Linked DNA regions of Callithrix jacchus. The protein of the gene in region 1 purifies or fractionates together with the protein of each later gene. This does not show direct contact. Links are inferred from orthologs where the notes say so. Each region holds a gene or a part of one and is shown on either strand. Other genes may lie near its edges.

Evidence for each region.
Region 2: the proteins of MTX2 (region 1) and IMMT purify together in Homo sapiens (co-immunoprecipitation; 5 studies listed by BioGRID and IntAct, counting the BioPlex papers as one, with this or other methods). This does not show direct contact. The link is inferred for Callithrix jacchus from reciprocal best matches to the Homo sapiens genes MTX2 and IMMT.
Region 3: the proteins of MTX2 (region 1) and CHCHD6 purify together in Homo sapiens (co-immunoprecipitation; 3 studies listed by BioGRID and IntAct, counting the BioPlex papers as one, with this or other methods). This does not show direct contact. The link is inferred for Callithrix jacchus from reciprocal best matches to the Homo sapiens genes MTX2 and CHCHD6.

What each region holds. Positions count from the first base shown.
Region 1 is NC_133507.1:53,072,468-53,075,323, forward strand, and holds the end of MTX2 (metaxin-2), read right to left. Parts: intron 1,023-2,856; coding exon 851-1,022; 3' UTR 575-850; downstream 1-574. UniProt on the Homo sapiens protein: Involved in transport of proteins into the mitochondrion.
Region 2 is NC_133515.1:26,833,151-26,836,807, reverse strand, and holds part of IMMT (MICOS complex subunit MIC60), read right to left. Parts: intron 2,140-3,657; coding exon 2,003-2,139; intron 1-2,002. UniProt on the Homo sapiens protein: Component of the MICOS complex, a large protein complex of the mitochondrial inner membrane that plays crucial roles in the maintenance of crista junctions, inner membrane architecture, and formation of contact sites to the outer membrane.
Region 3 is NC_133516.1:76,623,224-76,626,880, forward strand, and holds part of CHCHD6 (MICOS complex subunit MIC25), read right to left. Parts: intron 3,283-3,657; coding exon 3,213-3,282; intron 798-3,212; coding exon 653-797; intron 1-652. UniProt on the Homo sapiens protein: Component of the MICOS complex, a large protein complex of the mitochondrial inner membrane that plays crucial roles in the maintenance of crista junctions, inner membrane architecture, and formation of contact sites to the outer membrane.

The DNA.
Region 1 (2,856 bases):
CCTGGTACATAAAAAGAAAATATAAAAGTACTATTATTCTAGATATTTTTAGGAAATAATTTTTTACATCTGACTCTTTAGAGCATCCTGGTTTTATACGATATAAACCGTAAGAAAATTGGAAAAGAACACAACATATAATCCTTAGAGTTTACGTAAAAAATCCTATCAATACCTTTGTGAAAATTACCTTCCCTTTCCCACAAAAGAATAAAAGAGTATTATTAAAATGTTCTTGTCTCAAAATGGTCCCTCAACTGTTTCCTTTATCAAATGTAAGTCACAGCTGCTCTAACGAAATGTTTTTTAATTCAATTACGTCTCTGTATAAAGAATGTTCTTAAATGTCAAATCTGCACCAAGATTTAATTACCTTAAAACCATCCATATTTTCTAAGAGCACACTTGCTAAGAACATTTTTCCCCATTATCAGTTTCACCATATATCTAGCAAGGGAATCTTGGAGTATGTAACACAAATTACTTGCCTTAGAAAAGACACTGTTTATTCTACAGGTGTAAAATTCAGTGAATGACTTTCAGAAAAATCAAAAGAAAGTAAATGTAACATCCATACAGTTGTTTAAGCTTTATTTTTATATGCATGCATGTTTCAAGGAAACAAAAATTTCAAGACATAGAATACAATATATCAAATGAAATAATTCAGAATTATTTTAATGTGTACACAAGTAACAATATAAAGCACATATATAAGATAAATTGTATAATTTGTTTTGAGGTTTCAAAAAACAGTAATTTGGTTTTAAAATTCTGATACCAATATCTAATATAACATTCAAGTAAAACATATGTCAAAAATTAGACTTAATGAGACTAACATATAACTCTATGACAGTCTGTCTTTACCACGATCTTCAAAATAGTGCTGTTCAATTCTCCTACAGAAAGCAAGGAGGTTACTATAGTTTTTCACCTTTTCAGAAAGTTCATCATTTGTTAATTGTGTGGTAAGAATGGTGTACAGATGGCCAAATACCAGTGCATCAAGTTCAGTAGGCCTAAAAGTAGAAATAAGAGTAACATGAGTAAGTAGCAATTAACTCTTACGTTAAAAAATCCAGTTGGCCCTCTTCACCTACAGGTCCCATACTTGCAGGTTCAACCAACGTCAGATCAAAAATACTTTAAAAGATTAGAGAGAACAATACAGGACAAATGTGATGGTTCATGCCTGTAATCCCAGCACTTTGGGAGGCTCAGATGGGTAGACTGTTGAAGCTCAGGAGTTCACAATCAACCTGAACAATGTGGTGAAACCTCATATTTACAAAAATTAGCCAGGCATGGTAGTGCATGCCTATAGTCCTTGCTACTTGGGAGGCTGAGGTGGGAGGATGGCTTAAGATCACACTACCGCATAGCATTTAGAGATTGTGTGTATCTACTGATGACTTAAAATATACAGGAGGATATAGGTAGATTATATGCAAACACTGCACAATTTTATTTTTTCTCATAACATTAAATTTACATAAGCAGTTATGCCATTTTATATAACAGACTTGAACTCTGCAAATTTTAGTATCTGTGGGGGTCCCAGAAACAATGTCTTGTGGATATTTAAAAGACCTCTGTGGATATATTTTTTTAAATCGTTTCATTCATCAATTTAAAAGAAAAAAGCCACACAAGAAACAAAGTTTCTGTTATATAAAAAATATGTATATATGATTTGCTAGTTGTGTGACTTGCTTTCTTTAGTAACAATATTTGTGTTAAAATAATATAGATGTAATGATCATATTCATTTAGTTCATTACTTTAGTCACTAAATAAACATAACAGATCTCCAACGTGCCAGAAACTATACCAGATGCTAGACACAAAAACAAGAAAAATACTCTCATGGACATGAAACATAAATTATAAAGTTGTTTTAATAAACACAATTTATTGACCAGGTGTGGCGGCTCATGCCTGTAATCCCAGAACTTTGGGAGGCTGAGGCAGGCGGATCACCTGAAGTCAGGAGACCAGCCTGACCAACATGGAGAAACCCCATCTCTTCTAAAAAATAAAAAATTAACCAGGCATGGTGGTGCATGCCTGTAATCCCAGCTACTCAGGAGGTTGAGGCAGGAGATGACTTAAACCTGGGAGGCAGAGTCTGTGGCAAGCTAAGATCAAGCCATTGCACTCCAGCCTGGGCAACAAGAACAAAATCCATCTCAAAAAAAAATTATTAAGTATTTTAATAGATGTATAAACAAAGAGCTGTCAAAGCACAAAAGATTTCACTGTGGTGATAGGATCAAAAAAAGATACCCAATTATAAATCAACAACACAATATAACTTCAATTTTACCACATTTAAAGTGACTTAGATTTCTGAAGGAGACAAAATCATAAGGATGGCTTCAACATAATAATTTCTAGGGTTTTTTTTTCTCTTTAATTATATACTATATACAACAAAATAAAATTTATCCCACTACTAATGATCTACAAGTAGGGCATCACCAATCTACATTATATTAAAATAATTACTAATGCAATATTACTAAAACAAGAAAGTGCCATCATAATTATGAGCTAATTAATACTCTGAGTCCCATTGTGATAAAGTTTTTGAGAAAATGTGCTAGCCTACATAAATGTAAAAATATGCTGTAGAAATCTGGTTTGGTAGAATAAATTTGGGGGTTGGTAAAAATCCAAAGTTGAATCCCAATCCCAATACTATCACTTATGAACTATGTGGCCTTGATCCCTACTGATAAATAATCTCCTAGAGATCCACGGTTTTAAATACCATCTTGATGCCACTGACTCCTAAATATTTATCTCTAGTCCTAATGTCTCCCCTGAGCTCTGGATTCATACATTTAAATG
Region 2 (3,657 bases), on another chromosome or scaffold:
ATTTTACACTGTCTAATTGACATGTGCTACACATTATGTGCACCGGGAAGCAGAAATACCCCCTCATGTAGCCTTATACCCAAGTAGCACCACGGCATTTAAAGCTTCTAATCTGTGTCCTTCTGAGAGATACTGGTCTACTTGGGTTTGAACCCAATACCCTGACATCATGCAACTTCTAGCCTTCCCATATCTGTAACCAGCAAATTAAATTTCCTGTGTGGTTTCCATTTTGCTGACTGAACTCTGATATTTAAACACTTTTCTTGAACTTTGAATAAAATGGAATTTTCCTTAAGTTTTCAAATGTTGTATTTTTTTTTTTTTTTTTTTTTTTGAGACGGAGTTTCGCTCTTGTTACCCAGGCTGGAGTGCAATGGCGCTATCTTGGCTCACCGCAACCTCCACCTCCTGGGTTCAGGCAATTCTCCTGCCTCAGCCTCCCAAGTAGCTGGGATTACAGGCACGCGCCACCATGCCCAGCTAATTTTTTGTATCTGTAGTAGAGACGGGGTTTCACCATGTTGACCAGGATGGTCTCGATCTCTTGACCTCGTGATCCACCCATGTTGGCCTCCCAAAGTGCTGGGATTACAGGCTTGAGCCACCGCGCCCGGCCCCAAATGTTGTATTTTTTTACTACTAACATCAGAGGTCTAATTTAAACTCTTTTGCAATATATATACATATAACTAAAACTATGTAAAGTGTGTTTAAATTTTTTTTAAAAACTACAGTTATGATGGCAAAGCAACTTTACTGATCATGAATGATCCTGATCCTTAATATTTATGTTTTATGTTTTTACTTTTATATTACTCCTTAAGTGACTTGGAATAGAGATACATTCATACATACTGAATAACTTAATGTAATTAAAAAATAATTTATTGAGTCCCAGTATTACATCTGAAAAATCAGTATTATTTCATTCTTTGAAGTGCTCTGCATAAATTAAATAATCATAAACATTTCAAATAGCTGGTGTTTCGGGGAACACAGGATCTCTCCAAATTATTTCTTAAAACTGCATGTCAACTGACAAGTACCTTAAAAAGTTCATCTATGGAAACAGCAATTTTAAAGAAAACAACAAAAATGTTTAGGCACTATTAAAATATGACAGTAAATATGAACTAATTCTTGTATCAGTATTGTAAGATAAAATAAAGCACAATGTAGAAAATTTGTTCCAAAAATTTAAAGGCTTTTCAGTTTTTTTTTGTTTCGTTTTTTGTTTTTGAGACAGAGTATCACTCTGTCACCAGGCTGGAGTGCAGTGGCATGATCTCAGCTCACTGCAACCTCCTACTCCCTGGTTCAAGCTATTCTCCTGCCTCAGCCTCCCAAGTAGCTGGGATTATAGGCATGCACCACCATGCCTAGCTAATTTTTATATTTTTAGTAGAGATGGGGTTTCATAATGTTGGCCAGGAAGGTCTAGATCTCCTGACCTCATGATCCACCCACCTTGGCCTCCCAAAGTGCTGGGATTATAGGCATGAGCCACCACACTCAGCCTTTTAGTTTGTTTTTTAAAGATAATTATCCTAAGGCCAGGCACAGTGGCTCACACCTACAATCCCAACACTTTGGAAGGCCAAGGTAGTCAAGTCACTTGAGGTCAGTGAGTCCAATCTGGCCAAAATGGCAAACACTGTCTCTACTAAAAATAGAAAAATTAGCTGGGTGTGGTGGCAGGCACCTGTAATCCCAGTTACTCAGGGGGCTGAGGCAGAGAATTGCTTGAACCTGGGAGGTAGAGGCTGCAGTGTGCTGAGATCGCATCACTGTACTCCTACCTGGGCAACAGAGCAAGACTCCATCTCAAAACAACAATAACAAAAAAAGATAATTATTCTAGACTGTTTCGCCTAGTGAAAGTCCATACCATAGGGAAGAAAGCAGTCTATTAAATATTATACTTCTCTCCAACCCCCTTTTTTTTTCTTTTTGTCCCACAAGTCATGACAGCCAAAAAGCTTCTAATCATTGGGCTCACCTCAGAATTGTCCATGGCGGCTTTCAAAATGTTGGAGTGTGCATTGACAGCCTGTACTGCAGCATTCTGAGCTGCAATAGCCTGCAGAGTGACACTTGCAGTTTGCCTCAGAGCATCTTCTAAGCTCTTGGCTAGAGCTTAAAAAAAAAAAAAAGAACAATTAAAAAACAAATCCCTACCCCCACAAATGACTGGAAACTTGCTGTTCTCCTATTGAGATTTCCATTGTATTTCTCAAAAAATATGAAAAGGAACGACAAAATACATGAGACTCAAGTTTAGGGAATCAAAGTTTCACTTAAAAGTATGGTAAAATACTGACAATTTGGTCTGGATGATGAATCTATGAAGCTCTATTACACTATTTTTTCTTTTTTGTTTTTGAGACGGAGTTTCGTTCATTACCCAGGCTGGAGTGCAATGGCGTGATCTCGGCTCACCGCAACCTCCGCCTCCTGGGTTCAGGCAATTCTCCTGCCTCAGCCTCCCGAGTAGCTGGGATTACAGGCATGCGCCACCATGCCCAGCTAATTTTTTGTATTTTTAGTAGAGACGGGGTTTCACCATGTTGACCGGGATGGTCTCAATCTCTTGATCTCGTGATCCACCCGCCTCGGCCTCCCAAAGTGCTGGGATTACAGGCGTGAGCCACCGCACCCGGCCCACACAATTTTTTCTTGTATGTATATCTAAACTTTTTCAAAATAAAAAGTGTTTTTTTTTTTTTTTTTTCAAAATTATTTAAAGAAGGACAAAAGGACTCAAAAGAAGACACCAATGTTTGAGAGGCTACCACCTATTAAGATCATATTTCTATATGCTGTTTCAGGAATACCAAAAAGTAAAGCAAAGAACAATTTTAGATAATTTACTAAAATGCAAAAAAAAAAAAAAAGGTCATTCGAAGAAAGGTTAGTGAGAATACTAATTTAATAATAAACGATATGACAAAAATAAAAACTACATTTGACAAATGAGAAAAAAAGATAATTTTGAACGAAAGCAGCATAAACTAGCAAAAACAAACAATCAGATGAACTACAAACGGTACCTCTGCAAGAAAGATAAAAGAGGAAAGCTAGAAAGCTAATAAGGAGAAAATAAAAGTAAATTGACAGAAGTGAAAGAAATGAAACAACAGCAGCAGGAAAAAAGAGAGAAGGAGGCAAGGGAGGGAAACCATGGTATTTGGATCCCGCAACATACGTAAGGGAACAGTAGACATCACCTACAGGTAGTTATGAACCACTTTATGGAGTCCACAGAAAGTGGGCTGCTGGAAGGCACCTGCTGCTTCCAGCCCTCTTCAGAGTTCTAGTCACTGTATTCTGATCCTTGATAAATGTTACACATGCAAACATATGCATGTACATTTTTAAAGTCAAATTTGAGAGAAAGTTAAGAGGTGATAGATAAAATTCTGAAATTTTTCACTTGGTCCAAAATGAAAGATGAGAGGAACCAGGCAAAGAAAGTAACAGCTGAAATAGCAGACATCTCCAGCTTACAAATATAACTTAATTTCAAGGTGCCCATGTGATAAATGATAAAGAGAGACAAGTGAAAAGTGAAGAAAAAAAATATGACTAAAAGAAAAAAGAAACGTTTCACTTAGTTAGAAGTCATTTTTAAAATATTCTCAACTATTTGTAACA
Region 3 (3,657 bases), on another chromosome or scaffold:
TAGACTTCTCATGTTGCAAAATAAATGCTGCACTTAAGCAAAAAGATCCTAATAGCCGCCCATCACTTAAATGTATTAGTGACAGTAGTAATAACAATAGTGCACTTCCATGATCTGCTGGCATGTGCTAAGTCCTGGACAAATACTATCTCCTCCGATTCCCTGGGCACTCCTGTGGGTGAACATCATGATCTTTGAGCAAGGCTCACAGACAGTGTGTCCAGGATTTGCGCCCAGCCTGCCTAACTCTAAAGATTATACCCTCCCTCTCATATATTACATGGCTCCAGGCCTCCAGTCCTCTCCCCTCACACCCTCCTGACACACATACCACTGCAGCCCTGACACCTGTGAAGTTTCAGAGCTGAATGAGGTTGTCAAGTGTTCTAGTCCCTTACCGTGTAGACCTTAGGCCACGGAGATTGCAAAAACATGACACTGGCACCAAAGCAAATCACTGACAGAGCCAGGGCTAGAAGAACCCAAGTTCCTGGCTCCCAAAAGACCCTTTTCCACAGAGGTACAGCTGAGCATATCCTAGGGGCAGCCTGAGCCAGCAGGGCATCAGACAAACCAGGTGCCAAGGCCTGCCCCCTCTTTCCCAGGGTGCTGCCCAGCTTGGGAGGCCAGTTCGAGGAAAATATGCACTCACCAACCGGACTGACTTCTGCTCCTCATGACTGATGCTGCTTTCACCTGTGGGCAGGGATACCTTGGAGTGCTTGGTGGCAGCCTCTCTTTCCTTCTGTGCCACCTGGAAGAGTTTATCCTGGACAGCAGCATGTTCCTGTTCATACCTGTGCAGAAGAAAGATGAGGAGAAATAGATGCAGATGGCGTGACAGGCAGTCCCATAGTCAAGACAAAGTCTGCGCACTCACTTCAGCCGCCAGGGAAGCACTGAGACCAGCCAGTAGCCAGACAGGAAAGGAGAGAGTGCTGTGGAACCGCACACCCCATCATTCCCCGCCTGAGCTCAGGCATCAATGACAGCTCCCCAGACAAGGGGAGACAATGACAATGACACTGAGCCAGGACAACACAGCTCAGGAACAGGAGCCCTGGCCACGTTAGGCAGCCCCATGCCCAGTGAGGGTCTCAGGGAGGGGTTCAATCCAAGGACTGCCTCCGCTCCAGAGCTCGAAGATTTGAGATAGTAATAGTCCTCTGTTTGGAACATTTAACTCTTGTTCCTACCCTTTGACATATTTCTGGGCATTCTGCCTAGTAAAATAATCCTATAGAGAGGAAAAAAGTTATTAGCGCTGAGAGGCTCTAACAGTATTATTTATTATAGTGAAAAAAATGCAACCAACCTAAATGTCCTCAAATCAAGGTCAAGCTACAGAAAATATGGTGTGATCATATAATGAGCTATGACATCACCACTAGAAAATATAGTCTTTGATTTGTCTATAGATTGAATCTAAAAACTGAGAACCAATAAATGATGCTTTTAGCAATAAAACAATTTATAAAGCAGATGAAACTAATGAAAAATTATAATACTAAGTGAAAATAGCAAGATATGAAATTATCTATGACTTTCAAAAATAACCCTAAACAGGGGGGGCTGGTGGGGGGCAAGGTGGAAAAGAACTTGAAATACTTCAAAATATTAACAATAGTTGTGTTGAGATGATGAGTCTAGGGATGATTTTTTCACTTTATATATTTTCTAAATCTTTCATTAGAATGTATTACTTTATCATGTTTAAAATGTTTAAAAGCAGGGTTCAGGTTGTGGTTAGCTTTTCCTTTTCTTTTGGTTTTGGGTCTCATAATGTGGCCCAGGCCAGAGTGCAGTGATGCAATCATAACTCATTGTAAACTCCAACTCCCAGGCTCAAGCCATACTCCTACCTCAGCCTCCTGAGCATCCGGGACTACAGGCTTGTGTTACTACCCCCAGTTAATGTTTTTAATTTTTTTTTTTTTTTTGTCAAGACAGGGTCTCACTTCGTTGCCCAGGCTGGGCTCAAACTCCTGAGTTCAAGAAATCCTCCTTCATAGTCTCCTAAATTCACTGGGATTATAGGATTGAGCTACCACACCCAGCCAGGTCAGTTATTTTTGCTGAGACTTCCTAGGGAGGGTAAATTCTTACAGTGTGTGTCTTCACCCATGGCTATGCAACAGACCCAACATGGCTGAACTACTAGAGGGCAAACGCCCAACTGTAGCTGACACTGGGCCCCCTAAGCTGACCTACTGGGTCCTCTGACCATACTGAGGCCAATTTCCTCAGGAATCCTGAAGAGGTCAATCAGTAACAACTACTATGAGCATCCAATGAGAACTCTGTAGGCCAGGCACTGTGCCCAGGTGCATGATATACATTAACATATTTAACCATGACAGATCCCAATTAAAGAAGTACTCTTCTTAGCCCTTCTTAGATGCAGTGATTTTTCAAGTTCATCTAACTAGTAAGTTGCAGGATCAAGATGCCACCCTGTGCTCCACTGGGGCCTCTGTGACTTAATCACTTTGCTAAAACTTCTCTGGTGACAGGAAGCAGGTACCATTTCAGGGGCATGGCCAGCTCTTGGAGTTGTGGCCTGTCCTGACAGAAAGTCACCAACATCTTGGAACCAGTTCATCTGGACAACCACAGTTAGAACTGGGAGGGCTCCACTTCCTCATCTCTCTAAAAACACGCCTGCATGCACACACACATGCAGAAGGTCCAGGCTCTCAACTGTTTAGTCCTAGATTTTTTAAATGATTCTTTTTTTTTTTTCCAGAGACAGGGTCACCCAGGCTGGAGTTCAGTGGTGCAATCATAGATCCCTGAAGCCTCGACTTCCTGGGCTCAAGTGATCCTTCCACCTCAGCCTCCCGAGTAACTGGGACTAGACAGGCACACACCACCACACCCAGCCAATTTTTTATCTTTTAGAGACCGGGTCTTGCTATGTTGTCCAGGCTGTTCTCAAACTCCTGGCCTTAAACAATCTTCCTGCCCTGGCCTCTCAAACTACTGGGCATGAGGAACATTAGCAATCAACTCCCATATAGCCCTTTTGTTGTTTCTTCATCTTTAAACTAGGACTAGTGACACCTATACCATAGGGTTGTCCTTCAGTGCAACTGAGATTAATTATGTGAGACAAACCCTCTAGGGCTTCAGGCAAGGAGAGGGGTACCCAGTGAGGAAAGAGGCTTTTAGGCAGAGCACAGTGCCAGGAGCAAGTGGGCTCTTGGGCTCACCTCTTGACACCCTCCTTCGTCCCTGAGGGCTGCTGGCCACCACTGCTCCCTGACCTGGGCATTGTGGATTCTGCAAAAGAAAGAGAAGAAAAGGCCTGTCAGTGGCACCCCAGAGTTCATGAAGACACGATGTCACCCAGAAAGGAACGACCCCCATGAGTGAACGTGTCCCTTGAAGGCAGCGCCACAGATGCGTCCCCACAAAGGAGCGTCCGCAAGGGCAGACAAGAAACACACCCTTGATTCAAGCTGTTTGGAAAGCCAGATGATCCAAGCCACCTCTTATCCTGAAGGGGTCTCTGCACCAGGATGCCTACAACACTGGGCAGCCTGCAGACAGAACCCCTTGAGTGCAGTGTTCCAAACCCATCCCTACTCTATTGACAATTATTTGGAATCCAGGTCATCTCCTAAGCACACGCCAGGAGTGGTTGAAGGAATCACT